4 linked regions of the Lytechinus pictus genome follow. The main gene of each other region encodes a partner of the protein of the gene in region 2 in a complex. Links are inferred from orthologs where the notes say so. Each region holds a gene or a part of one and is shown on either strand. Other genes may lie near its edges. The genes, in order: serine/threonine-protein kinase mTOR-like, target of rapamycin complex 2 subunit MAPKAP1-like, target of rapamycin complex subunit lst8-like and rapamycin-insensitive companion of mTOR-like.

Evidence for each region.
Region 1: target of rapamycin complex 2 subunit MAPKAP1-like (region 2) and serine/threonine-protein kinase mTOR-like share a complex: the UniProt entries of both Homo sapiens proteins name them as parts of the mechanistic target of rapamycin complex. The link is inferred for Lytechinus pictus from reciprocal best matches to the Homo sapiens genes MAPKAP1 and MTOR.
Region 3: the proteins of target of rapamycin complex 2 subunit MAPKAP1-like (region 2) and target of rapamycin complex subunit lst8-like are in contact, whole or in part, in a cryo-EM structure (PDB 7PE8), measured with the Homo sapiens proteins. The link is inferred for Lytechinus pictus from reciprocal best matches to the Homo sapiens genes MAPKAP1 and MLST8. Residues at the interface, in NP_001006618.1 of Homo sapiens: Lys102, Cys103, Lys104, Asn105, Ile106, Gln107, Trp108, Lys109, Arg111, Asn112, Ser113, Lys121, Leu123, Phe124, Glu125, Lys126, Lys127, Ser128, Leu129, Gly137, Lys138, Gln139, Ser140, Ile141, Leu142, Val144, Arg145, Leu146; in NP_001186102.1 of Homo sapiens: Ala29, His30, Pro77, Ile78, Ile79, Ser80, Tyr81, Asp82, Gly83, Arg98, Arg110, Ile111, Trp112, Gln120, Cys121, Gln122, Arg123, Ile124, Asn139, Gln140, Ala141, Leu157, Lys158, Ile203, Glu206, Ser279, Gly280, Asp281, Gln283, Asp322.
Region 4: the proteins of target of rapamycin complex 2 subunit MAPKAP1-like (region 2) and rapamycin-insensitive companion of mTOR-like are in contact, whole or in part, in a cryo-EM structure (PDB 7PE7), measured with the Homo sapiens proteins. The link is inferred for Lytechinus pictus from reciprocal best matches to the Homo sapiens genes MAPKAP1 and RICTOR. Residues at the interface, in NP_001006618.1 of Homo sapiens: Ala2, Phe3, Leu4, Asp5, Asn6, Pro7, Ile9, Ile10, Leu11, Ala12, His13, Ile14, Arg15, Gln16, Ser17, His18, Thr20, Ser21, Asp22, Asp23, Thr24, Met26, Cys27, Met29, Val30, Leu31, Ile32, Asp35, Val36, Ser84; in NP_689969.2 of Homo sapiens: Arg108, Gln137, Glu140, Thr144, Leu147, Arg148, Arg151, Lys152, Thr155, Arg182, Met183, Arg185, Ala186, Ala189, Cys192, Glu193, Leu196, Leu220, Arg222, Ile223, Glu225, Ala226, Leu227, Thr229, Thr230, His233, Asn236, Arg293, Trp295, Glu844.

The regions. Positions count from the first base shown.
Region 1 is NC_087258.1:3,792,247-3,799,885, forward strand, and holds the start of serine/threonine-protein kinase mTOR-like, read right to left. Parts: upstream 3,010-7,639; 5' UTR 2,825-3,009; coding exon 2,608-2,824; intron 1-2,607. UniProt on the Homo sapiens protein: Serine/threonine protein kinase which is a central regulator of cellular metabolism, growth and survival in response to hormones, growth factors, nutrients, energy and stress signals.
Region 2 is NC_087259.1:8,588,646-8,596,316, forward strand, and holds the start of target of rapamycin complex 2 subunit MAPKAP1-like, read right to left. Parts: upstream 3,017-7,671; 5' UTR 2,972-3,016; coding exon 2,844-2,971; intron 1-2,843. UniProt on the Homo sapiens protein: Component of the mechanistic target of rapamycin complex 2 (mTORC2), which transduces signals from growth factors to pathways involved in proliferation, cytoskeletal organization, lipogenesis and anabolic output.
Region 3 is NC_087254.1:30,996,855-31,003,862, reverse strand, and holds the start of target of rapamycin complex subunit lst8-like, read right to left. Parts: upstream 3,020-7,008; 5' UTR 2,751-3,019; coding exon 2,637-2,750; intron 856-2,636; coding exon 804-855; intron 380-803; coding exon 217-379; intron 1-216. Other genes in the region: hexosaminidase D-like, read left to right, coding at 5,075-5,142.
Region 4 is NC_087255.1:32,403,535-32,411,420, reverse strand, and holds the start of rapamycin-insensitive companion of mTOR-like, read right to left. Parts: upstream 3,017-7,886; 5' UTR 2,959-3,016; intron 1-2,958. UniProt on the Homo sapiens protein: Component of the mechanistic target of rapamycin complex 2 (mTORC2), which transduces signals from growth factors to pathways involved in proliferation, cytoskeletal organization, lipogenesis and anabolic output.

The sequences.
Region 1 (7,639 bases), on a different chromosome or scaffold from region 2:
GTGATCCTGAACAAGATTCGTATGTAACTAGATGGTAAATGCGAACGCCAAGCGCGAGCAGAAAATTTTATTAACTGTTCTAGCATTATCGAAAAGGGACCTGTTAAGGACTGCTTACAGTTACCCACGAAGACGGTATATATTTCAATAATGCGAGCGCGAAGCGCGAGCAAATTTTTTTGACATTCCGACCTAAAAAAATTGTCATTCTAAGCACTTATTGTATTAATAAATGGGATAGGTATGTAACTAAACAATTGATGCGAGCGCGAAGCGCGAGAGGAAGAAAATTTAGATTTTAGACCTAAAAGCGGGACACTCTATTCATATTTTGTAAATCATAAATAGGATATAGTTAATTGGGTATCATTAATAATGCGATCGTGAAGCGTGAGCAGACAATTATTGATATTCTGATGTGAAACTGGATAATTTTAATATAAAGAACATGCAGGCTATCGCGCATGTTTTTGATTTAGACCTAGAATCTGGGCCGTCTGAATACATTTGTTTATGGAATACACGTAGACAATAGGAACTTGGCAAATCAAACAATTTGACCACACAGCGTGAGCTTAAAAATACTGATATGTAGACTATAAAAGGGACATTTTACAGCTAGAGCACTTAATTTTTTTAATGAAAAAAAATTGATGAAAGCTCGATGTCCGAGCTAAAATATATTTTGTATATTGACTTCAAAACTTGCTCCATATCAGCCTATTGAGCAAGATATGAATCTCATCGAACAGGCAATTCTGGCGCGAAGCGCAAGCAAAAGTTTTATATAATAACATGAAAGATTTTTTTTTTTGCAAGTCTTCCCTTCACATTATTTCATTCACTCGTCTTCCTCCTCTTTTTTTCTTATGTCGTTCTTCTTTTTTTCCTTTTTTCTTTTCTTCTTTCTCCTTTTTTTTTGCCCTGCCAATTTTTTCAGGGGGGGGCACCTGGGGGGGCACACCAAATCTCAGGGGGGGCACGTGCCCCCCCAGGCCCCCCCGTAGCTACGCCACTGTGCATACAGCTGTGCTCTAGATCTAGCACAGCCTATTCAGACTCAGGGAGCTGCGATAAAAAAATGTTGCTGCTGAGAAATCTTCCACAGAACTTTGAAAATCTCAGTCAAAGTCACCTTTTACACCAATGAAATGCAATTCTACAGTCTATATTACGAAAATCTGGCGTACCCTGATTATTTGCAAGTATTAAGAAGAGGAATTATGACCTCTCTTTTGACTCAAAAAGACCGATTTCCACATGAATTAATACACATAAAAACACATAGGCAAGTACATCACAGTCCCACGTGTGCATTTGTATGTATGTTGATACTTGGTTTCTTTCGAAGCTGTGTATTTTCTAGCCTTAAACAAACAGACAGTTTCTTTCTTTCTTGTTATAAATGACTTCTTAAACCACTCTTGAGAAAGTAAATACTTTGGGAAGGCATTTCATTGATATGAAATGTGATTTTTTTTCCTACATTTTGGCAAATATAGGGAAGGACTTTTCTCACACTTTTTTTCCAGATATAGTTTTTGCCGTTTTCTTTTTTTTTTTCCTTTTTTTTTTACAGTGGTTAAACCATTTATACCCCTTCCTATTGAATATGCCTGATTAAAAATTATTTTTCTACTGAAAATAAAATAATACAAACTAAAGGATATAAAAATAGAAATGTGCCATTCCCAAAAGGCAAGTGAAAATTATTTGCTTGGCTTTTAATTATATTCCAGTCAGAATAGACTGTTGCCACAGCTGTTAAAAAATATATGTAATGGCTTCTTAATTTTCCCCTTTTCCCCATTTTTATATTAACTTTGTTTTATTAATTTTTCTTTCATTTTCTTTTCTTTTTTCTATCTGATTTTTTTCTTTTCTTTTTTTCTTTTTTTCCCTGTTCTTTGTTTTTTTCTTTCTTCATTTTCTTTCTTTTGTTTTATTTCACTAATTTCTTTTATCATTTTTGTTTTCTTTTTGTTATATACTTTTTGAAAATTATTTTTGCTTGTTTCCCCCTTTTATGCATTATTCTAATTTTGCAGCATATTTTTCTGTGATTTTCGCCTTCTATAATATGCTGCAAAAGAGAAAACAGAAATAAACTGGATTTGGGGCATGCATAATCTAGGTTTTAGGATTCAAAGAGGAAGGAAGGAAAAACCATTGTTTTGTACATCTATCTGAGTTTGCTATGCACTATTTATTTACTTTACCATTATCTCTATACAGAGAGTTAAAAAAGTCCACACAACCTGCAAACAATACAATTCATTTATTCACTTTCAATCATTTCATTTTTACAACGATAGAAACAATTATCAAAGTAAAATAACAGCAAACAAGGTTTACATACAAGATGTATAAAGTGAAAGTAACTTAGTGGTAGTGGCTGCAGAATTAATATTTCAGAAGTTTGTTTTATTCATTTTTAATGTTTTTCTTTATATTTTTCGGGCCACCAAACTTTAATATCGGGCCACCAAAAAAAATTATTTGATGGTTTTGGTGGCCCGAACGGGCCACCACCAAAAATAGTTAATGTGGAGCCTTGCTGTACACACACCTACAGGACATTTAAATCTATTCGTTCTATGCACTCACCAATTGCTAGAATTCCACCTTTCTTCTCGTTCACGTCCTGACTTGATACCAACTCAAAGATGTGGTGGTTGAGATCGTCCATAAACGAAGTGCGCTCGTCCGCCGAAACTTCCCGCAGCTCGGTGCTCACGTAGTGCTGCAGGTTTTTCGCTGCCCTGGTGCGAACATCGTCGTGTCTGCTCTTCAATCCGCCGACCAAACTATTCATTTGTGACATTTTGACTGATTTGAAAGTACCCAATCCAACTCTGAATATGCTATATCATGTCTGCAACTTTAAAAGATAAGATGACCATGAAAAGAGAAATTCGTAGTCGTAGATTATAATAATTGACGCCTCTTTTCTCTCGGCTCTCTCTCGCCACGGCCTCAGCTCATCATCTCTTCAATAACAGGAAATGCAATTTGACCTGTGACACGCATCACCGATAGAACAAATTTCCCGAAACTGAATCTCAATAGACACTGGAATTTCCTTTTTTTCTTTAATCGGACATGAAAAAAGCGAACCTACACAAGTTTGGTCCAAGTGTAAGTGACCAAAAGTCCAAATCAAGGAATTAAACTTTTTTTTTTTAAATAGCAACAAAATTACAAAATGCGAGCGCGCGGAGCGCGAGCAAAATTTTGAGCTAAAAACGGGACAGTTCTGAAAAGTGAAAAGTCTATCAAAATTTTGTTTGAAATTATGATGTCTATTTTTTATGTTAAATGATGTTCTTAAATCTTATCTTTCAAGTGCCATTAGAAAAACAAGGAAAGGATTCATGTTTTTCAAAGGCACCACAACCTTTCATGTAGCACAAAATGAAATCATTTTAATGAATTGCAAGCTCTCCCATTAACAACGCAAACCCCCTTACCTAGGTTAACGATTTTATGAAGGAATTTTCAGTATTAAAATACATCATATTTTGAAAAAAATAATGATAAATCAAGTAGGCCTAATTCAATAGTTTTGTAAATGAATTTTGACAGAATAATTATGACAAAGACAATTTAAAGGTTAAGATCGAGGAGTCTGCTGATTAGCACGAAGTCTGATGATCGATATTTTCTCATTTTCTGCCATTTTGGCGCAAGTCTTAATTTTTTAACCCCTGACAAAAAACGTTCCATGTTTGCTCAAGCATGAACGAAACTTATTTTTCTGATGGCATTTGAAAGATAAGACTTAAGAGCATATGAACATCAAAATAGAGACATTATGATTTCAAACAAAGTGATGGACTTTTCAAAACTGTCCCGTTTTTATTGATACCCACTGTGGCTTATGAGGCAAACAAAGTTACTACGTTTAATTGTAGTTTAATTGTAATTTTCGGATTACCCGGAATTACCTGGAATTTTTTCATTAATTGAAAATGATCGGGATCGTTATCCGGCCGGAATTGCACAAAAATATGTTTCTATGTAATCTACGCACCAGGGGCGGCAGAACGTATTTTCGTTTAGGGGGCAAAGCAAAAAAAAGGCACTTATTTTGATTTGAATTTATTTTTCTTCTACATAACAATATAATATAACATAAATGTAACAAACATACACTCTAAATTACAGGGATTTAAAATAAGTCTAGATGGATTGTAGTTAGGGACCAATCGATTTCTGGATTTTGTTTTAATCCTAAAGACTTAAATTTAAATCTCAAATGATTTAAATTCAAATTAAATTTAAATCTTTCGAGATTTAAAAAAGGAATCTGAAGGATTCAATTAAATCCGGAATTCGATTGGTCCCTAACTACAGTCCATGTGGACTAATTTTAAATCCCTGTAATTTAGAGTGTACATTGACAATAAATCAGGTATAAATCATTTAGCATAAAATTAATAGCAGAAGATGGATTGCCATAGTAAGCAAAAAAATGCTTGAAAAATATGACAATGAACCGAAACATATTTTAACCATATAATTATATTATGAGCAGAATGGACAATAACAAATTATTAAAGTATCAATTAAGTATAATATAAAAAGAGAAGAACAAAATCTAACAAGCCAAAACTTGCTATAATATATATAATCAAGTAAAAAAAAAAAAATGATAATGATAATGACAAATGAAGAAGATGAAGATGATGATGATGATGATGATAGTGGTGACGGTGGTGGTGGTGGTGGAAATAATGTTAATGATGATGGAAACGGAATATTAGAACATGATTATGACACAAGAAAGTTTATTTTACATATTCCGATAGTAACATGACCTTAACTTTAGCTTTGAATGAGTGTAGGGAGCAAGAGGATTTAATTGAGTCTGGGAGAGGATTCCAAAGGTCAGGACCATGAATCTTTGTCTTACGGATCTCTGGGCAATACGTAGTTTTGGATTGACTAAATGTAAATTAGAGGAATTACGGGTGGGGTAATCATGAATGGTTTTATTCAAAGTATAAAAAAATTTTAATGAATTTGGTAGCATCCCATTGAAATACTTGAAAATGAACAATAAACTTTGTAGTGTATTAATGTCAAATACTGTCAGAGTTTTTAATTGGTAAAATAATGGTTTGGAGTGAGATGAATATTGTGAACCGATACAAATGCGAAGCGCTTTCTTTTGCAATAAGTGAATAGAATTTATTTTTGTTTTGTTTGTTGTGGCCCATACTAAATTGCTATACGTTATATACGGTAAAATCAATGAATTATAAAGCAACGCAAGTGTTTTGCAAGGAATACATTTCTTTAATTTATATAGTATACCAACATTCCTAGAAATAGAAGTTATTATATGGCGTATATGTTCGTTCCAATTTAAATTTTCGTCAATGACGACACCCAAAAACTTCGTTTGATGCTTTCTTTCAAGAGGAACATTATCTATAAATATGTTGTAATGTACGTCATTTATATGAGATTGTATGTGTTTAAAATACATGAAATTAGTTTTGTTGATATTCAGAGACAATTTGTTACATTTAAACCATAAAGATAATTTCAGTAACTCATTATTTAGTGTGTCAACTAGGGTGTTAAGGTTATAATATGAGTAAAATATGTTAGTATCATCTGCAAATAATATAAACGATAGAAGAGAAGTTGTATTAGTTAAGTCATTGATATATAATTAAAAAAAGTAATGGGCCTAATATCGATCCTTGTGGGACACCGCATCGGATTGGTAGAAAAGTTGAAGAAACATCATTAAATACAACATATTGTTTTCTATTGGTTAAATAGCTTTGAAACCAGGAAAGAGCAACACCACGAATTCCATAAGAGTAAAGTTTTTGAAGTAAAATTTGGTGGTCAATCGTATCAAAGGCCTTTGATAGATCCATAAATACCCCTATTACATGTTCTTTATTGGCTATAGAATCTGTTATTTTATCATATAATCTAATCAGTGCAAGGTCAGTTGAATGACTTTTTCTGAAACCATATTGATTTGAATTTAATAAATTATGTGTATCCAAAAACTTGTATAGCCTCTTGTAAATAATCTTTTCAATGATTTTAGATATACTAGGGAGAATCGATTTAGGTCTATAATTACTTATTTCATGAGGGTTGTCTTTCTTAAAAATAGGATTTACTTTAGCAATTTTTAAGCACTCTGGACATTTCCCAGTATTGAGTGAGAGATTAAAAATATGAGTCAGAGGGGGTGCAATAAAATGTATAATTTTTTTATATAGGCCGGCTATGTCAAAATTGGCATTTTTGTGCAACCCGATATTCACCATGAGATCATCATCTGCGTGAAGTAGTTGTGTGTAGTGAAAAGTAAAGTCCACCCCTGGAAAATGTTGATTTGATTAAAGAGAGAAAAATCAAACTAGCAAAACGCTTAAAATTTCATCAAAATCGGATGTATATTAAAGGAGAATGAAATCCTTGAAACCAGCTGAATCCATATCAAAGAGAAAAATCAAAGAAACATATTGTTGAAAGTTTGAGGAAGATTGAATGAATAATAAGAAAGTTATGAGCATTTGAATATTGAGATCACTAATGCCATGTTGATCTTCCCATTGGCAATGCGACCAAGATCTGTGATATGTCACACACGTACAACTCCCTCATTACTTTAGTACTTATTTCACTTATTCTCACTTTTATAGTATATCACAAGGTGAGGTGTTCTCTTTATGAGAGGACAAGTCCGGGGACAAGTACAGAGGTTTCACAACATTATATCATTGATGAATCGTTTGTCATATGATGAGAATGATCGAGCAAAAAGAGATGTTTTGGGGTATATTTTCAGTGTCCAAAAGGGGAGAGTTGTTCATCTGTGACATCATAGATCTTGGTCGCATTGCCAATTGGAGGATCTCCATAGCATTAGTGATCTCGACATTCAAATGCTCATAACTCTTCTATTGCTAGTCCTATTTTACTCAAACTTTTGTTGATCTTATTCTTTGATTTTACTGCTTTCACAAAAGCTAACTTGCTCCAAGAGTTTCATTCTCCTTTAAGAAAGTTATGACATTTTAAAGTTTTGCTTATTTGTCATAAGACAGTGAAATGCACAACTCAAAGAGGCAGACGATGGTGTCCCTCACTCACTATTTCTTTTGGGTTTTTTTTGTTTGAATTATACAATATTTCATTTTGTATAGATTTGACAGTGAGGACCAACTTGACTGAATCATACAATATTTAAAGGTCAAGTCCACCTCAGAAAAATGTTGATTTGAATCAATAGAGAAAAATCAGACAAGCACAATGCTGAAAATTTCATCAAAATCGGATGTAAAATAAGAAAGTTATGACATTTCAAAGTTTCGCTTATTTTTAACAAAATAGTTATATGAACGAGCCAGTTACATCCAAATGAGAGAGTCGATGACGTCACTCACTCACTATTTCTTTTGTTTTTTATTGTTTGAATTATACAATATTTCAATTTTTACGAATTTGATGATTAGGACCTCCTTGCCTGAAGCACATGCAAAATGTTAAAATAATGGAATTCCACGTGTTCAGGGAGGAATGAAACTTCATTTCACATGACAATGACAAGAAAATCAAAATATTTCATATTTCATATAATAAAATACAAAAGAAATAGTGA
Region 2 (7,671 bases):
TAGAAACGAAACATTCTAAGGCGCGATAGCTCAATCGGTAGTGAGGGGGTTTCGGATTCCGGTGGCCTGGGTTCGATTCTCACTTGGCGCGCTAGTGCCAAGTAAGGCATTTTAATCCTATAGGTCCCTCGGAGGGTACCTTAAGCCATCGGTGATCTGGTTGCTTGCTTAGAAGCATTCACGCTTTCTTAGCAAATGAGGTAAAACAAAAATCGTCAAATCATGAACAATGATCAGTATTTAATTATAGCATTTGATGCGAGCGCGAAGCGTGAACTGAAAATGTCGAATTAAACGAAGGATTTTAAACATGTTTTTAATGTAGAAAAAGATGAATATCTTACTTAACAAAAACGTTAGCGCAAAAGCGCGAGCTAAAATTGGGAGAGACTAAGAGCTAAAGATTAGACATACAGTATTCACATTTATTTAATAATGGACTGGATGCGACTGGATTCTGAGAAGTTGACACTTCAGGCGAGGTTTTTTTAAAAACAGATAGCAAGTTGTTTATCTCATATATTAATGCCAGCGCGAATCTCGAGTCGAAAATTTATTTGCCATCTTTTTGTAATCCCGTGTAGGGTGCCTATCTCGCTAAACCACAATAAAATATACACTAGAATCGCCATCAGAATACTTTGGGTATATTACAGCGGCGTACCCAGGATTTTCCAAAGGGGGGGGGGCAATTTTTTTGAGGACATTTCGTCCGCGAAAAAAATTACAAGAAAAAAAAAAGTTTTCAACCACAAATAAAGGATTTTGTACCAGAAAAAAAAAAATCGTCGGGGGGGGGGGGGGGGGGGGGGGGGCAGGGGTACGTCCCCTGCATTTGTTGTGACTCGTCGGGGGGCAGTCTGCCCCCCCCCTTTACGCTAGTGGTATATTATCTTGAAAACGGGATACTTTCAGCTCCATGTAATCCTTTCGGACACTACACATGACCTTAGGCAGCGGGGGGAGGGGGAGGGGGGAAGAGCCAGTTGCGGCCAGAAATTTTGTAAATCGTTTTAAGTATGTACTTATTCATGTAATTATGTCAATAGTTTACAGTATCTTCAATTTTACATTCAAAATGCCCCCCCCCCCCCGCTAAATTTTGCATGCCCCCTTTCGGAAAATATTTCTTCCATCTTACTTGAAAATTCTTTTAATATTTGTGACATTATAAACGATCGATATTCAATAATTGAACCAATTTAAATCGAAGAATTTAAGTTGTAAACAAACTTAGAACTATTGATAGTGTTCACAAACTTCTATTTTGAGTAAATCACGATTTTTTATGTCATATTGCCATATATGTGTGTGTAATATTCCAAATTGAAATGCATATTTAGTAGACTTATAATTTGAAACTCTGAATAAAAATAATTCCATATCAAAGATAATCAAAAATATGGTGATGATCCGTCAAAATATCAAAATGCGTGATTTTCGACAGTCTTTCAGATTTCACGCTAAAAATGATACTTTCACGCAAAAGTGCACTTGGCATCCGCACGTACGTTATTCCTCAGTATTTCCGCAAGAATTTGACTGGGATGCAAAGAATTGACAAATTGTGCTATTCAATTAAAAACTCGCTTTAGTGTGTACTTAGTAATTAAAAACTCGCTTTAGTATGTACACTTATACATGTAATTATGTACATAATGTACGGTATTTTCAATTTTTCTTTCAAAATGCGCACCTGGTGAAATGCACATTGTCTCCTTTCGGATAACATAAAATGAGATATATTCCATCTTACTTGAAAATTCTTTTAATATTTGTGGCATTAGGACATTTACTATACATTCGATTGAGAAACGCATTTAAATCGAAGAATTTAAGTTGCGTAAAAAACTTTTAACTATTGATAGTTTTCACAAACTTTTATTTTGAGGAAATCGCGGTTTTAAGTTTCCCTGTGCCATATGTGTGTGTGTAATATTCAAATTTGAAATGCATATTTATGAAACTTATAATTTGAAACTCTGAATAAAAATAATTTCATATCAAAGATAATCAAAAATATTAAAATAATCCGTCAAAATATCAAAATGCGTGAATTTCGACATTCTTTCAGATTTTACGCTAAAAAGGACACTTTCACGCAAAATTGCGCTTGGCATCCGGCCGTACGCTATTCCTGGGTATTTTTGCAAGACTATTAGCTGGGATGCCAAGCATTAGCAAGCATTAACAAATTTTGCCGTCCAAAGTATAAAAAATCGTTTTGGCCGGTCTACTTATATGCACATGAGTCGATGATGTCCCTCACTATCTATTTTGTTCGTTATTGTTAGAATTATACAATATTTCGATTTTTACAGATTTGACACTATGAACCAATTTGACTTTACCATAAACTGTTAAAATAATGGTAATGCAACATGTTCAGGGAGGAATAAAAAAAAATTCACATTACAATGAAGAGAAATTTATAATTTTTCATATTTCATATCATGAAATACAAAAGAAATAGTGAGTGGGTGACGTCATCAGTCTGCTCATTTGCATATCAACCAGCATACTTGTGCATATACCTGTTTTGTGAAATGAATCAAAACTTTCAAATGTCATAACTTTCTTATTTTACATCCGATTTTGGTGAAATTTTCAGTGCTATGCTTGTTGGATTTTTCTCCTTTTTATTCAAATCAACTTTTTGTTGGGGTGGGTTTATCCTTCAACATGCTGAAATCTTCAGCTAGCATCACCTATAAATAGAGCGCATAATAATCTTGATTTGGAAAGATTGTAAAAATACTGTGAACAATGTAACGACTAATCCCTGGAAATAAAAAACTGATTTTAATTTTTCACAATAGGACAAGATGCTATTTCTGACTAACTTGAGTTCTGGCTGTAGACCTTTATTCACATAGTGCCAGCAGATGAGACCGATCAGATCTTGGACTTTGGCGTTGTTTGTCACGACAACCTTTAAGAATCTTCTATCAGGAATGCTAGGTTCGACCATCGTTAAAAAGATTTCGATGCGTTTCACGCCTCCTGCACCAGCATGACCCTTCAAGAGAATAAAGTGATGAAGAAATCATTAATAAAATATTGATCAATAACACCTTATTCCCCCATCACTATCACCATCACTATCACCATCATCATCATCATCATCATCATCATGCATCATGCATCATGCATCACCATCATCATCATCATGCATCATCATCATCTATCACCACCATCATCATCATCATAATCATCATGCAGCAGCATCATCATTATCATGAGCATCATCATCATCATCATCACCTTCATCATCACCGTCATCATCATCAGCATCATCATCATCATCATGCAGCAGTAGTAGCAGCAGCAGCATCATCATCATCATCGTCACCATCACCGTCATCATCAGCAGCATCATCATTATCATCATGCAGCAGTAGTAACAGCAGCAGCATCATCATTATCATGAGCACCAGCATCATCATCATCATCATCACCATAATCATTTCATCATCATCCATCATCATAATCATCATGCAGCAGTAGTAGTAGCAGCAGCATCATCATCATCAGCATCATCAGCATCATCATTATCATCATCATAATCATCATCACAATAATCATCATTTCATCATCATCCATCATCATGCAGCAGTAGTAGCAGCAGCAGCATCACCATTATCATCAGCATCATCATCACCATCATCATCACCACCATCATAATCATCATCATCATCATCATCACAATAATCATCATTTCATCATCATCCATCATCATGCAGCAGTAGTAGCAGCAGCAGCATCACCATTATCATCAGCATCATCATCACCATCATCATCACCACCATCATAATCATCATCATCATCACAATAATCATCATTTCATCATCATCCATCATCATGCAGCAGTAGTAGCAGCAGCAGCATCACCATTATCATCAGCATCATCATCATCATCACTGTCATCATCAGCAGCAGAATCATCATTAACATCATCATCACCACCATCATAATCATCAGCATCATCATCATCATCATCATGCAGTAGTAACAGCAGCAGCATCATCATGAGCATCATCATCACCATCATCACCATCATCATCACCATCATCATCACCACCATCATAATCATCATCATCACAATAATCATCATTTCATCATCATCCATCATCATGCAGCAGTAGTAGCAGCAGCAGCATCACCATTATCATCAGCATCATCATCATCATCATCATCACTGTCATCATCAGCAGCAGCATCATCATTATCATCATTAACATCATCATCACCACCATCATAATCATCATGCAGCAGTACTTAGTAACAGCAGCAGCATCATCATCACCATCATCATCATTATCATAATCATCATCACCATCATCATTATCATTATCATCATCATCACCATCATCATCACCATCATTATAGTTCCATCAGCATTTCGCCTCTTACAAGTTACAAGTAACCTATGATGCTTTTGAAATACTTCAAATGTTGCAAAAACCTTCCCATCGATGTAAGTTACATTAAAAAATACAAATAAAAAAGGCAAATACTGAAGTTACATCAGAACAAGATATGAAAAAAACAAATACATCATTCATAAAATATTCAAGCGCAGATCTATACCCAGCGAGCCACAACTGGCAACCACCAATAAGACTGATGGCAGAGTAAAACAGATACTATTGAATTCATTATGAGTTGTCATGTAATTTTCCCATGATAATGCTATAACTTGGAAGTCATTTAGAGTTTTGTAAGGTTTTTATCGGGGCTGTACCTAAATAGGGTTAATGGACATTTAAATAACGACAACAACTACAAACACCCTTGGCAGTCTCACATAGATTATACAACTTGGCTTAAAAATTAACAAAAAATATCTCTTTATTAAGTAAGGCTGAGAAAAGATGTGTAGATGAAGATATAGAAATTGCATGTTTTTTTATAACATCTTGAAAAAAAGTTAGATCATAATCACTCATACTTTTCTCACTCCATATCGATGTCCCTTATTACTTTGTACTAGAAAACCAGTTCCTGATTCTAGTATCAAGAAAATAGGCACGCTTTCTAAAACTATACTGGAAACCGACTCAGGAAACCGGTTTGGAAGATCGCTTTGCTAGCGTTCCCACTTGATCACAAGTGGAAGAGCCATGGTGTAGTGGTTCTGACTCTCGCCTTGTAAACAGAGGGTCGTGTGTTCAAATCCCACGGCGGTTTAGCGTCCTTTGGCAAGGCGCTAATCCACACTTTGCCACTCTCGACCCAGGTGCTAAATGGGTACCCGGTAGGATGCAAAAGATATTGTTTGATTTTGCGAGCGCCATAATGAGGCTGCGATGAATGCAAGGAATGCTCCCCAGGGAGTGGAAATTGTGCACTTTTCATGCGGGATTGAAATGAATCCAATGACCGGGGTAATTATGCTGTAACGCGCTTTGAGCCATTCTGGGAAAAGCGCTTTATAAAAATTGGCTATTATTATCACACGAAAGTGGTTTTCAAAATCACTTCACGTATAGCGATCTTGTTGCTATAGAAATGCTCTCAGTGGGTGACACGTTTCTCGCGAAATTCAAAACTGCAGCGTAGGCATTCTACACCTGTCATGTGGAGTAGCACGCTCAAAATGTGCGAAGATCGCTTCCCGAAGAACGGTTGTGTTCTCACTTGCGCTAAAACCAGTTTAACGAGGCAAAGTGATCTTGAAAACTACATCGCGAAGTGGTTTTTTTGAACTCGTTTGAAAGATCTCTTTGACCATTCTCACTACACATTAAACTAGTTTCCCCCTAAACTAGTTTCCAGTAAACTAGTCTTAGGAAGATAGTGAGAACGGTGTCCGATTTGAAACATTTTCTATCTTAAAATAATAGCAATAACTAGGAGGAAATCATAATGCCAAATTTCAGAAAATTTCCCAATTGTTTATGTTATATTAAGTCCTTCACGAATAAGAATAATATAATCAAAAGTCATTATTACAGGCCTTAAATTGACAATGCAGTGAAGTGTGAATTTATTTACTCAAAAGAGCAAAAAGTGCATTTTTCTCATTTAATTTTGCATTTTTGTTCAACTCTTAACATGCCACGTTAATTTGTATTGAAAAAAAGTAGATTTTCTTTTTAAAGTTTAGAAAGATATAGAAAAGCCTTGCTTGGTGTAATTGACAGGACTGTATGAATATTATGGTCCTATAGTCCTACTGATCAAGCCTGGCTGGGCCATTGTGACATATTTTGTATTAAGTTAATCAGTTAGACAGACAAAATAGGCTTTAGTTTTATGTCTTGTCTCCAAGCTACCTCACTCAGGTGAGCATATTTACTGACCTTATAAAGACTACACACATAACAATATGATTGTTGTCATTTTTAGGAGCAAGCGCTGGAGATATTCCCAACATCTTTTCCTCTTGAGCCTACACGATCCCTTCATCAGTGGGACTAAGTACCTTCCATTAAGTTTAATGAATGCTAATTGATGGAGAAATCCAATACAAATGCAGGGGATGATAAATGGGGGAGGCTAAAATCTTGAACAATTAACAACCGCTGACAATATTCAAAGGAGCTCCAGTAATTGTTTTAATCTACCGTCGAAGACATTTTGTCAGTCTTCATCGGGAGCTCATACCACTTCAAAATTAGTGTGCCATCTATAATCATTAAGTCCATGGTGAAAGACACTTGCAATCGATCGCAAGTCGACCTTGTATGTCCAAATCAATCGCAAGTCATTAAATCACAATTAATAAAAGGGATTGTTTAAAGTAACCTATCTGTTGATAAGTATGCGTCTGACCAATAGAAAATGATCAACATCAACCAGCATTTTGGTAGATTCAGACCAATAAATTAGTTGATTTTCACCATTTTTTGTTGTCCGTCAGACAAACTTTGCCATGGCTGGGATTTGAACCCATGGCTTTTGTTTTTCAGGGTCCAGGGACTAATCCGCTGGGCTGCTCCACTTGTTCGTATACATATTCTTGTAATAATTGCATCTATCATCATTCTCTTGGGAGTTATAGTTTTCCATCAATTTTTTTCACTAACCACAACTTACCTACTGAAAACAATAAGCAATAGCTTTTTATTTCAAATCCAGGCAATTATACGTGTAGGGGGCTTGGTAATTATCGTACCCTTCTCTAATCTGTAATATACCAAACCCCCTTGCAAGCGTGCTGGCTTTTTAACAAGTCTTTGGCATGACTTGGTCGAGACTTGATCCAACAACCTCCTGGCGCAAGGCAGGCACTCTACCACTGGGCCACCATGCCGTGGGAAACCATGTACCAGGGTTCCCAGCTTTTCAAGAAAACAAAATTCTCTGATTTTTTCCCTGATGAAGTTTAAAAATTCCATGATAATTATTTAAACCCATTCCCAGTTTCGCATGTTTTCTAAGTTGTCACAGTGAATTACATGTATGTTCAGTATAAAACAACAATGTAAAACTAAATAGTACCACCATAACCAGTCATTCAATGGATGTTGTTTTGATATGCAACAATATATAACAGAGTCTGACTGACTACAGTGCTTTCGACTTTTGGGCCGATCGAGATTCCCTGATTTTTCCCTCATTTGAGGCATTTTTCCCTGATTTGGAGTATTTTATATCAAATTCCCTGATTTTTCCCTGACTGGAAAAATGTAAAATTATTTTCAATGATTTCCTTGATGGGCTGAG
Region 3 (7,008 bases), on a different chromosome or scaffold from region 2:
GGCATAAATTTTCTCATTTTCCACAATTAATGTTCATCCAAAAGAATTAGTCACCAATGTTGATGCCTTCTATAAATAAAAGCAACATCAGAACCCTACATAAAATGATGCAATCAATTGTACAGTCAATGGCATCTGTCAGTATACAAACAATCTAAAAGGAACAATCAAACTTAATATTGATTGCATCTCTTTTGTTGTACAACACCTTCATACCTGAGATCCCATATCCTAGCAGTGCAGTCCTCTCCACCTGTGAACATCCATTTGCCTTCCTCCTGGAACCCAACCGATGTAACATTCTTAGGGATTCCCTCATAGTTGATGATTGGTGTGGTGTCTCCTGAGTTGATATCATACATACGGATGTGCTGGTAACCTATAAAGAAGATGACAAAATACCGGGGGTGAATTTCTTTGAACTGAATTTTAATATTTTAAAAGTTCATTCCAGTGTATGCTTCTAGGGAAGAACTTAAGTTAAAATAATTGATAGAAATTCAGTCTTCAGAGCAGTTTTTATATTTTATGCAAGGAGCATGTCTATTTTATTTCACCAAAGACATTTATTAATACAAATTCTGTTTTTCACAAAACTCTGAAATAACATTACCGCTCTTTAATAGAGCCTAGAGGTAAAAAGTACTGCTATCATTCACGATCACAGCAATCTTAGGAGTCCCCTTCAGTTCTTCATTGAAGTAGTGTGTGACAAATATGGAACACAAAGTTGTAGAAATGTGCAAATAGTTTAGAGAATCTGTGATGGAGAAGCTAAATCTGTTTTCCATATTAATACTCACCTGCAGCAGCTAATAAACTCCTGTCCGGGGTGATTTCCAAATGATTGACTTGCTGTGGGTTGGAAAGAGGAAAGGATTATAATGAGTCAAATGACAATAATAATGGTAATTAAACTGGGCTTAAATTAATCAAATGCTATCAAACACTATGGGTGCTGATTTAACTCAATGCCCTTCTCATGATCACAAGTCTTGAAGATTTCCAGTGTTCTTTTTTATATTTTCCATTTGTGCTGCAATATAGAAAAACACCCTTGCCATAAAATTAAAGAAATTTAATGTCTGATTTAATACAATTACAATAATCGCAATTACTTCCCTAATTTTTAATCACCCCCTTAATATATTATGGTAAGCAACAACTCAATCAAAGCAATATAAGCACTTAAATTGGCATCTGTGTAATTTTATGAGCACATACAGTATAGCCTATGAGTTACAAAAAAAAAATCATACATTTTATATCACCTACATCTGCCAAAAAACGTGACTATTTCAATTACTTGCTCTCCCAAACCACTATTTTCACCAGCAAATAAATTTGAGTACATACACAATAGACATGTTTTTTTTTTGCTAACTGATGTACAGAGCATTGAGCAACAGCTGGTTGATATAAAGACTGTTCTTCATCGCCGTCAATCTCAATTTTCACAACTTCAACATGAACATGCTGCTGACTGGTTAATGCTTCCAAGCTACAACTTTCATAGTTTCGAATTATCTACAGAGTTGACTAAAACCCATCACAGATTTTAAAGCTATGAAATAAACAGAAAGCTTGCTATTTGTGGTACCTTAATAAACAAATATTTTACACATGAACCACAGTTTCTACATCAGTGTTGAGGCTGCTTAAAAGTAGTTGTTTTCTTAAGTTTAGAATGTACATGTACATTGAGAGTCATAAAAAGAAATGCCAATCAGATTGTACATCTTAGCACAGAATTCATGAATAGTCAAACACCTTGGCACCCATTTTTTTCAGTGGGAAAATGTGGAAATCAACATATCACTGACTAGATATTATATTTTTGAGAATATGACTTTGCAAATGTATTTTGGCCCCTTAATTTTCATCATCTTTCTATGCAAATTCCCCTTGGCTTAATAATACAATTAGAGGGTGGCAGATGTCTGCCGCCCTCTATATGCCGTAGCGTCTCGTATCTTAGCTACTAACAAAGAGAACAAGATGGCCATGTAAACATCGCACCGGCAAGTTTCTTTCCTGTCTTTTCATAATATTTTTCTCTTTTTTTTAAAGAATAATTGTTTCAAAATGAAATCGAAATTGTATAAATGTTGGAAATTAATTTCTAGCCCATTTACATGATTTAGATCTTTTACAGGGAAAGTAGAAATCTCGGGGCAAAATTTGCAATGTTGACCGCGGTATATGCACATGAATGGGGCACAATCCCTGGCTCCACTCATTCAATGAACAAGGTTATGATATGCCTAGCTCCATGAAATAAGCACACGTTAGTGTATGATTTTTACTCTCTAGGAGCCTCCTGGCTAACCCCAACCCAGGTCAGGATGGACTGATTCAATGGCAGGGACATTACTTCAAATTCAAAGGCCAAGATAAAAGGATTAAGTAAAATTTGAAGAGGAAATAGATATAAAAAAGCTACTATGTCTAGGCCTATTTCTTTTTTCTCTTAAAGCAAAGAGCTACAATGCAACCCCCCCCCCACCCCCCACTCACTCGCCACCCACCAACGACATCACACTTTCGCATCGGACACGCCCTCTTCAAACTCTTGACCGACTATAACCTTAATAAAAAATCCAATAGATTACCACACACAATTTCATGAAACTCACCGATTCTTGATGTTGGACAGTGCGGTGGCAAATACCCGTGTGTGCGTGCCAGAAACGAATAGTTTGGTCATAGCCGGCAGTGGCGAGAATTATTTGATCGCTTGGATTTCCCATTTCTGTTTAAAACTGCTAAGAAGTAACCAGCTGAAGGGGAATAGAGAGAACCAGACTAATCAAAGAAAGCAGCTTCCGCACTGATCATATGAAGGTGCATTACAGGCTCGGTATGGTAGCCCTTCTCGTAAAATGAAATCGCATAGTCTATCCATGAGCTTACGGTACAAAATGATACCAGTCTTTTGTTTGTAAACAAGGCGAAGACCGTATTAGCTTGCTAGCTAGCTCGATCGCGCAATTACATCGGCAGCATCCATATCCAGGCCAGCGCGAGGGCGGAGGAGCTAGAGAGCGCGGCGCGGCGCGCGCGGCATGCAGATCATGCCTGCATATCATGAAAAATACTCGTACTCAGCCGTCAGACTACAGCAGCTCGCTAGCATAGCACGCCACTTTGCAATGTGCTTCTCGTTCTAATGCAATACTGTGAAACGTTAAGCCGACGCTGACACAACTGTTGGAAAGCGAAAGTTTGAATGCATTTTTAAATTTTAGTGGAAGAAAATATGGATATTTAGCCGTCAATACTAACGTTATACTGGTTCTCAGAGACAGAGTTGAACTGTGTGTAGCCTGTAAGGCTGTAGTGACAGTGTCACTGTCACGTCAGTGAAAGGGGAAGTTCAGTACTGCGGCGGTCCGAATTCCAATACGTGCCCGGAGCCAGCTGAGAAAGTTACATAAGCCAGGTTACAAAGCCAAAGGTTCAGTTCTGGACACAGGATCTTCTGTTCCTCAATGTCCAGCTCCTGGTGATAACCTGGGAAAACAGGTAAAAGTTAACTCTTGTGATTGTCAAATGTACTACAAATAAATAAGAATATGTAACTCAGTTGAACTTAACTTTTAAGTTAACGTTACATGTTTTAATTTGAATTAGTTTGAAAGACATGATCGATCATAACTGACAGAAATAATGTCAGGCCCTACCAAACTCGAGCTTGAAAAGTTATTTCTAGACCCCTATCTCGAATGAAGCTGAAACTTTTACCTTAAACTTGAAACTGGAAGACGTACAGAAGAGACAACGGGCAATAGAACGTATTACTTAGGCATGTTAGGACTTTGGAGAGTTACTCAGAAAAGTCTTAATTGGTTAATTCACCACTTAATGTACATGATTACATGGGTAATCAAGTATTACTGAACATCATGCCTGAGTTTCAGGTTACATGACTAAGGTCAAAGGTCATTTAGGGTTAATGAACTTAGACCATGTTGGGAGAATCAATATCGAAATCTTAACCAAGGTTAAGTTTTTGAAATGTTGTCATAAGTATATGGACCTAGTTCATAAAACTTAGACATAAGGGTAATAATGTATCACTGAAGATCCTGCCTGAGTTTCAGGTCACATGATTAAAGTCAAAGGTCACTTAGGGTCAATAAACTTTGGCCATGTTAGGTTTTTTTTAAGGAATTGTCATAACTTTAAAAGTTTATGGATCTAGTTCATGAAACTTGGACATAAGAGCAACTATGTATCCCAGAATATCATATGCAAGTTTCAGGTCACATGACCAAGGTCAAAGGTCACTTGGGGTCAATGAACTTTAGCCATCGTAGGGGTATTTGAGGAATTGTCATCATAACTTTGAAATTTTATGGATCTAGTTCATAAAACTTAGACACGCAGTGTTTACAAGAGCAATCAAGTATCCTTGAACATCCTGTGCGAGTTTCAAGTCATATGACCAAGGTCAAAGGTCATTTAGAAAGTTTATGGATCTAGCTCAATGACATAAAGGTAATCAAGTATGAATGAGTGTTTTGCACATGTCTTAGGTCACATGATCATGGTCAAAGGTCATTTTGGGTGAATGGACATATTTTATTATTATATTAGTGTTTTCTTCTACGAATATTTATTCATTAGCTGTTTTCAGAGGCAGCACTGCTGCTATATCGAATTGCGTAATGCAGGCGAGACTGCTAGAGGCGTTCCACTTGTTTTAACTTGCCTTCCTAATTTCTGCATCAATTGTGTTTACACTTGGTAAAAATATCATTGGATGATACCACACGTGTGTCCACTAGAATGATCAATAAGATCAAAGTCATTTAGGGGTCAAAAGATCATTTTGTATAATTTATTGATGGAGAAATCAGGCGAGACTCATGGTTCACCACCTTGTTTGGAAGTTGTGTGAATCACATTGCCTAGGGCCGTTGGGTGATTTATAATTTATTTTGAGTTATTTATTTGTAGATCTACTATAAAAGAACGATTTTCCTCCCCCTTATCTCTACTAGATCTGAAACAACATTTATGCTGTGACTCATACTACTACTAGCTGGAGATTTTTAGAATTTCATTCAAGATGGAGACCCAAAACATAATTTATGGAGTTCCATCTCAAGCACTTCCAATGCCTGATCAATATAAAAGGTAAGTCTACGCTGGATATTCCCTTTAGACCTGATCATGCTTAACAGTTTTATGCATAGGCCTACCTTTATTTAATAAATAAAGGCTCTACTGATCTTAACAACCTCAAATCTTATTGAAGAATGTCCAGACCTAGCATCAACTAAATTATATGCAAACTGGATTCTATTCATTGTTTTGTATTAGCTCACAGGAAAGAAACCTGTAGGGCCTATATAGATTTGAATTGGTAATAATTAAGTTTCAGCAATTCAATCATAAGCTGATATGGCAACACCTGGTCTTGCATTTTGCATAACCTATTGAAATTACAGTTTTGTGTGTTTATTCTGTTTGGAAGCTCACTGCCCCCCCCCCCCTTCCATCCCATAAGGCCATCATCATGAGTTAAAGTGCTGTTAAGTCAGATTCATCTGAAGAGGGTTACCACGGGCAGCCATGTTGGATGACAAACAGAAAAAACCTGTGCTTCAAACTGTGATTAATCATTGTTTTTATGGTCTAGCAATTCACATGACTCCCATTGTTCTGTCCTCCAACATGGCTGCTTGTGACATATTTATATTTGAGCCCTGTATAGTAATCAAGACTATTGTGGGTTGAACTGTCTCAAAGTAATTGTGTATTGCAGTATCAGTACTGCAATGCACAAATTGCTGAATAAGATGGAAGAATTGTTGCTTTTTTCCTAGGTATATACTTCTTAAAAGTAAAAAGGAACTTGAACAATTACAATGATTCTCTTCACCTTTCTCACAAGTTCATTGCACAACTCATTCACTTTAACATTTACAAAACAAGACCTGCTTCAATGTACATGTATTACAAATGCATGGATGCTAGTGGTTGTCAAGGAGATTTCATGATTATACTGGTGGTGATGATAGTGGTGGTGGTGGCGATGACAAAGGTGATGGGGATGGTGATGATAATGAGTTTGGTGGCAGTGGTGGAAAGTAAGGTACTGATTTAACAAAGGTTCAGACAATGATGATGAAGGTGTTGGTTATAGTGAAGATGATGCTGTTGGTGGTGATGAAGATAATGGTGGTGGTGGCGATGACAAAGGTGATGGGGATGGTGATGCTAATGAGTTTGGTGGCAGTGGTGGAAAGTAAGGTACTGATTTAAAGAAGGTTCAGACAATGATGATGAAGGTGTTGGTTATGGTGAAGATGATGCTGCTGGTGATGATGGAGATGATGTTCAAAGGTTGTGACAGTGATATTGGTGGACTGGTGGTGGTTTTGATGAGGATGATGGTGGTGAAGGTGAAGGTGAAGATGATGATGATGATGATGATGATGATGAAGATGATGAAGATGATGGTGATGATGATGATGATGATGATGATGAAGATGATGGTGATGGTGATGATGATGAATTGATGATGATGATGATGAATTTTTGAGCTATCATGGTTTTTTTTTCCATGTACCTAGGAGTTGGAAAGAATATCATGAAAAGTGGTTCAATGCCAAGGGATGCTTTTTAACCCTATAGCACCTGAACCGCCCGAGACCGCCCTTCCTATTACACACTGAACCGCCCTTAACCGCCCGTACGTTTTCTTTGCGCTAGAGTATCTCTTATCTATGATTTACCGTGGTAATATTGCGTGTGCATACCGTATAGGTTGGCTGCTATATAAATCTGCATAGAAAAGTGTATGCTCCTATTGAGTATAATAGAGAAAAACCGATTGACATGCATCGGTGTGTCAAGTTCCAGACTGTTGCGCAGTCGATCTCAGCAAAGATGGCTGCGTCCATGTCTCGGAAAACCACTTACTTCGCCGAAGAAGCTTGGGCGTAGCTATATGTTCATCAAAACGTTGGATATCACACAGAGTGACATCTAGATGTG
Region 4 (7,886 bases), on a different chromosome or scaffold from region 2:
AGACAGAAAAGCGATCAATAACACATTTGCAATAATTTTATTGCAAGACTTATGATCGATTTTGGGCCCTAAAATTGGCTTCCAACACCCCACAAGTCTTACAACAGATATTTTTTTAAACATTAAATATTAAAGGCAAATCATTTTGTAAAGGTGAACATGTACATGAATGAATTCAAAGGCTTATGACCTCATGTTTTTGCACTTCAGCTGTACAATGACAGACTGTAAGTCCAATCTCTAAAACCTATTTTTGTCCTATCACTTCAAACTTTTTTGTACACGTGCTGGGGGTAAACCAGTGTCAGATAGGCCTACACTTTATGACAGCCAATATACGAGGCATAGGATCAGAGTGACAGCAGTAGAGAGATAAGAAAGACTGTGTCAAGAACAAAGGCCAGTTTATCAGGCTTTAAAAATATCCTAACCTGTAAAAAAAAAACCAGGCCTAAGTTTGCACCTATTGTATTGTACTGTGCTTCAGATTCCCAAAAACATTTGTAAAGAAAACAAGAGGAATAAAAAAGAAATATGAGAAAGAATTATTTTGCTTTCCGATGTGTAGCTAATGTAGTACCTGAGGGACCGAGTCAAGAATAAAATCTTGAAATTATATTACGTACAAGACAGAAAAATGTAATGTCAACGACTTGTTTTTGTTTTTTGTTTTCAATTTTATGTATGATTATAGTACATGTACTTCATGTAGGCCTATCTGTCACATTTACATGACATTAAACTACCGGTAATCAACAATTTCACACTTTGTACTACAGTGTATAGTACATGTACAATTCATTCTTTAACTAGTGGTATTTCACCAAGGAAATAACAAACATGCTTCGGAAATGATGAGAAACCTGTCTGTACAAGGAAAACATATTTTCTTCACAAGAAACTAAAGTAATAGGGGGGAATAATCTCTGAATCTCCTGTAAATGTACTTTAAAATGATGCTACAGCCTACAAGTAACTGGAAAAAAACATAGGAAAACAAAAATCTTACAAATTGTGGGCATAAATCTAGAAAATTTAGAGGACATTTCTTATTGTGCAATTAATCATGGAGCTCAACATGATTGCAATTATGCAAGCACACATACTCAACATAGACCAATCAATCCACACTGTATGTCGATGCATGTTGAGTATGGTACATACATTGTACAATGAACAGTATGTCTGATACCTCACATCTATTTTACCAGTGATGTATGGATGCCAACATACTGTTTTCATATCAACTCTAGATATATATCAACATGATCACAATCTCAAACTTAAATCACAGCCTACTGTATTTTTTCCCTCTTCTCACAATCTGTGCCATACACAAAGTATTGTATAAAAGGTGTATGCACTTAACATTGTACCTGTTTTCATGTGCTGTGGTGTTATAAATTTAATTAGCTTTCAAGGATGCCAATTGTAATAAACTACCTACTTGTAAATGACGTACATGTAAATGACATAGGCCCTACATGTACAACAGTCAACAGAGTTAACAGCAGGCCTACAACCAGTCTCAAGTTAACTATGTAAACAAATAAATCTTAAAAGTAATGTATCAAATTTGTAGAAACTTGAGAGCTAAAAAAAGTTGTTAATCACAGAATTAAAGAATGGGAGGTGGTGCATCTTTCCCTAGCATGTAATCGGCTATTTTCCTTTTTTAAGATGTACTGTACAAGTGCATGACGTGAACTTCCATGTTCCATTCCCTTCCAATGAATGGCAACTAATTTTTTAACCATATTTTATGAATAATATTCTAACTTATTTATTGAAGCTCTCATGTGTGAGCCTACATGTACATAAAATTGTATGAGGCATAGATAGTGGACAAAGATCTTATTTATTGTGAATTCCTTATTTTAGATATGGATACACTGGTATCGGACAAATTTTCAAAACCAAAAAAGTAAAATGGCATACACTCAATTCTGAATTCACGAATGGGAAGTGCAGTAACATTTACCTGCATTATTATCTGGTTACCATAGCAACACAATTCATGCTCATGAGGAGAACATTTGAATGTAGGTTACATCCGAGGGTTGAAAGGGAGGGATAGATGACCTATATATCGGATCTGCGTCATATCTATATTTAGAACCATATGTGGGCACTGTAGCGCAGCCATGGTCAGTGGATCCGCTCTATGCTTTACAAATTCCTGTACATGTACAATTGCACATGTAAGCATGGTAGGCTTATTTACAATAGCCTGTAAAGGCCTCTTGCATTGGAAGTTCCTTTCTCTTTTTTATGTACATACATACTTGTATGCTTACAATGAATAGTCCTTTGAAATATGAATAAAAATCATCGGTTTCAAATCTCCTGGTATTGGGCATGATACTCAAAAGCATCTAAAACAAACCCAACTGTCCAAATTGTATGTAATACTAAATATTAAAATAATATGCTCCAAGCTTCTTTTTTTAATTCAATGGAATGCATCTGTACATCTTTATACAATTCAAATGATGATAAACCATAAGCCTTCTAAGACCAAGGCCATCAAGTGGTTATATTGAACATGTATGAGCTCATCTTGTGTGTTTGTGTAAAGTCTCCCAAAATGAATGAAAAAGTGAACAAAATCTCTATTTTACAAAAAAAAATTCCCTTGATTTAGGTCTAAAAAGGGATCCTTATGTTGAGTGTGCTAAAAAAGAAGCGACTGGTTTTTCGCATTTTACGGTCGGTCGGACGAGGCCAACATAACAATCGATTTGGTTCATTCTTATATAGTCAAACCTGTCTCATAGCAACCACCTGCCTATAAAGTGAAAACCTGTCTTTAGTGGCCATCAGAATTGTCTCCTATTTGAAAGAAATATTTTATAGAACCTGTCTCTACAAAAGGCCACTTGTATTCAGTGGCAACTCTCTCTGTTTCCCCTCAGTAGCCATAATAGACAGGTTTGACAATCAAGATGGAATACTTACCAACAAATGACCTCTGCAACTGAATAGCCCAGCTTGTCAAGGTTGGATACATGGTTGATAAGCTATGTAATCAAAACGAGAAATTATACTTGTAATTAAGATGAAATCTACATGTATTATTTCCTCAAAATACTAAAATTTATACATTTAGAACTCAATAGAAGAAGTTTGAAAGGGGAGCATTTCATGGATCAGTTTGGGTTTTCACTGACTGTCAAAGTAAATGATATCCTTCAATATGATTGGCTCAGAGCAAAATTGTAGATGAAAATTCACTATTTTTCACATGAAATATTCTACTTTTATAATAGAAATTGTGATTTTTTTTTCAATTATGGTCATGGGCAGAAGGATAGACCTGATACAATCAAATTACCCTTTCACAAAACGAAAGAAACATATTCAGAATTTTGTTCAACAATTATGTTAATTTGATCTTCAATGAAAACTAAAATGGCAAGATGACATACAGCTGAAATGGGTGACATTCACCTTATTCAAAAAAATACTTAGTATTATATAAGTTGGGTATTAACTGTCAAACCATATTTTTCATACTTTTTTTTCTCCAAAGTTGACACTACACTTCATTGTCCCTTCAAACATACTTTTTCAAGTTCTAAATTTAATGTCAGCAAAAAAGTGCAAACAAACTTTACATGGGTGTTGTTTTATAAACATCATGGAATCATTCCCATCAAGAACAATCAAATTGGTACACGCCTCCTCCCGATTCATAAAAACATCCTCTTGCCAAGAATGGGAGGGTTACAACCAACATTTCCTCCAAAACAAAACAATTTCCTAACAACTGTCAAAGTCAAGGTTAAACCTATACACCCTCAGCTGTGCACTACAAGCCCAATTCACATTCTCCTTCAAAAACCAAACGTAAAACCTGTCCAAAGCTTAGGTTCCAATTTCTAAATGGCAAATCTGTATTCTCTGGTGACTGATATTGCGGAACAATATAAAAAATGCTAAAAGAATGTAAGTTTCATGCTGATAAAGTTTGTGAATGAATTTTCATGTTCACTGAATTCTGTGAAATTTTACCTTTTTCTGTATTGTGGAAAACTGTGGACTATATATGTACATGTACATGTAGCTAATATATGGAAAGGTTTGAACAAAAATACATGATTTTTTTTCAAGTCTAGTGACCCTTATATCCTAATTCATCAAATGATTATTGGTGGTAATTTGAGTTTGACAACAGATACATTCTCTTGTAAAGAATGCAATGTAATCATTTTTGCTTTATGGAATTAATTAAGAGTGTCCAAACATTCATCCTATAAATTTAAATAGTTTGTATCAGAAAAATAAATGCTGTTATAAATGCAGATATTGTATCTGCAAAATGCTGTCTTATTTTATGCTTGACAAGTGGATTTATACCAAAAAGACAAAAATTAACCTTTGTCTCAGACCCAACTTTTTAAAATACACAACAATACAAATTTTGCTTGTTATCAGATTTTATATTGCATATTTTCTATTTTCGCATGAATGTTTTTGTGATAAAACTTCATTTCATCTGAATATCAGAAAGTTGAAAATGAACATTCATATAAATTACCAAAAGTTGATGTTGGTATTTCATGTCACTTGTATGTTTTTCACACTGCACATATTTTCTTTAACCCCTGGAAATTGGTGGGGCTCAGGGGGGGGGGGGTTCTTAGACCCATCAATTTCCTGGGGTTAAGCTTTACTTCGGTTTCACACTACGTTTTAGCAAAGTGGGCTAGCACGGTAAAAAGTATGGTACTACATGTACATGTATCTGGCCCTGCAAAAATGCAGGGTTAACCGGTTTATTGCAGTGCTAGCACCACGCGGTGCTAAGAGATGCAGGGTAAAATGAAACTGGGCAAAGGAAAAGGGGGGGGGGGCTATGCATTAGCCAATCACAGAAGTCGAAATTGCAAATGTGGCAAAATCGTCAATATTCATGAGCTGTGCGATAGTCCGGGGTTAAGGCATTAACCCTGGCTAAGCAAATAGCATGGGGTTAAGAAAGACAGTGTGAAACCAAAAAAAAAGATAGTATGGGTTTAAGGGTAGTCTCGTTTTTTTTATAAGGATAGTATGGGGTTTAGGAAATGCAGTGTGAAAAGCATATTGGCGTACTGTTCCTTCAAACAACCCAGGCAAAAAATTACACAGGGAATGGGGGTAATTTAGCCCCTGAAATGCTAAAAACAAAACGAGCCCTGGAAATGCCCATTCATTGCAATGTAGAAACTTAACCAATGTTGCAGACTTACATGTTAACGTTGTGAAAAGAAGCACCCAAATTAAAAAGGATATAAAAAAAAATTGCATTCAAAACAACCATACATATTTTTATCTCTTTTGTCTGAACACAGGTTGCGATGAGTGAAGAGGATGGATACGGGACAGGCATGGCTATTTCTCACGTGTGTGTCATCACCAATGCCCCTGGTTATTAGCCATCTACAATCACAAACATGCAACTTACATTCGACAGCTATTTCAACTATTTGACCTTACACTGTACATGTATATGTATATGAAGGCCCTATATTATATGTTTATGCACCCCTCCCCCCCCCCCCCAACCTCTTCTACACTCTGGATGTTGAAGAAAGGTATGGCATAATTTTCAAATTTTGCTGTATTTAAATGATAATAATACAGAATACTGCTAGAATGCAATCAAGAGACTCAATGATATTACACATTCTTTGGTGAAATTTCAAATATTTTAGTTTCCCAAATGATCCTAGAATACATGTAAGAAAAATCATGGTCATTTAAACTTATCTTCAAAATCAATACTATAAAGATTTGGATAATGGATACAGTATATTTCATGAAATATATAATGGGTGTTTGACATCATAGAGTTCTGCATTTGTATTTTGAAAAGAGAAATGCCTTGCTTTCCTATGTTTCACATTATAGAATTTGATGAAATTTTGAGTGTTAAAATGCATTGCTGTATTTGACTATTAATATTTAGAAAGTCAAAAAGGGGCCTAAGCTTTCGATCCTAGCAGAATCTTCGTCGGAGGCAAAATGACAAACATATAAAGTGGAACAACCATAATATAGACCACAAACAAGCTACAGCAACACTAGAAACAGGGAGACAAAAGGGGCATTAGTGAGTAGAGAAGACCAATCAGGTTAGTGAAGGGGATGAAAGAAAAGGAGTAGGCAGACACAAAGGGAAGTTAGTGTAAGTAAGGCCAGTAAAAGACCTCAAGCCAAGAGGGATTAAAATAATGAGGCAGGCAACATCAAACAGGATCTGGAACAAAACAGTGATAATGGGATGAAAAACAAGAGAATTAGTGAGAGGTGGGTCAAACAGGTTACAAAGAAAGGCTTAATAAACTGGTGCATAAGAGTGGGGGGAAAAAAAAGGAAAAAGAAGAAGAAGAAGAATGGGGAACAACTGATAATGTGCAAAAGACATATAAGTATATATGATAAAGCATTAAACAAACTAAGAGAAGAAGGTAAGTGTAAATATGTATCTATAAGTGATATGTATATAAATATATCCAAAAAAGAAATGTATATGAAAAAATATATAAAAACACATATGGTGTAACTGATATTGTAATCCGCTAGGTGTGACGGGAAAAAAACATAAGACTATATAGTAGGGAAAAAAAAAAAAAAAAAAAAAAAAAAAAAAACCTGTATATGTGAAAAAGAGGAAGCAAATTGCCTAAAAAGGTAAAAGCAAATATAGAAGAGAGGGGGTGTATTATGAAGAAACCATAGTATACATGTAAATAAGCAAATGTGGTAAATCTAAAAGAGGTGAGTGGAGAAAAAACAAATATATATATATATATATATATATATATAATAATTATTATATCGTCTGAATAAGGAAGGAAAAATTGGAGCTGAGCTTGTATGAGATATGGGAGGAAAGTAGAGTAAGAAACTATAATGTGACTATTCAAAAGAGCTGAGGGGAAAAATTATATGTATATATAAATTGAAAGTGGATAGGAAAGAAAAATCAGTCGTTCCCCTCTTGGATGTTCAGGCCATGAGGTTGGGTGGTGCGAAGTCGTCTCATCCAGAGCTTCTCCCTGCTAGTACGGACTGAGTCAGGACGGGTACCTAAAGATTCGATGCCCTGTAGCATCATGTCAGTGATGGAGTGGTTGGGGAGGTTAAAATGGCGGCCAACTGGAGTGTCCAGCTTTGCTGTGTTGACGGTGGATCTGTGCCCGTAGAATCGTTTCTTGAGTGTGGTCTTGGTTTCCCCTATGTATTGTACCCTACAAACTCTGCAAGTGATGAGATATACAACATTAGTGGTAGTGCATGTGATGTTGCCCTTGATTTGGTGAGACAGGCTGGTAGAGTTGCTGGTGAAAGTATCGCCCTCGTGAAGGTGTATTTCACATATGATGCACCTGTTGCTGGTGCATTTGAAGGTGCCATGCTGTATGGGAGAAGAATGGTTAGTGAGGGAGGGCACTTCAGCACGAACAATGAGGTCCCTGAGATTCGGTGGGCGTCGGTATGCTAGAAGGGGAGTATCGGGAACGGCCTGTTGGAGACGATCAGAAGTGTGTAAAATGTGGTGGTTATCAAACAGGATTTTGCGGAGAGGGGGTAGATTGGGATGGAAGGTGGTCACAAGCGGTATTCTGTCGGTGGTCTCCTTGTCACTTTTTGGTTTGAGAACTTCAGATCTGGGGAGAGAACGAACTTTGTTAATTGCCAGTTGGACTGCCCTGGCCCCGTTATTAATATTTGAATCAATTTTGGTGGGATGGATACGGTTTATTTATACACAGGAACTGCACTGAATGTGGAATTGAAAGCTGTACCAACATATTCATTATTTTTTCTCTTTCTGAACATACATTGCTGCCATTTAGGATAGAAATTAACTGCACAAGTTTCTCCCATTGTGCACTGTC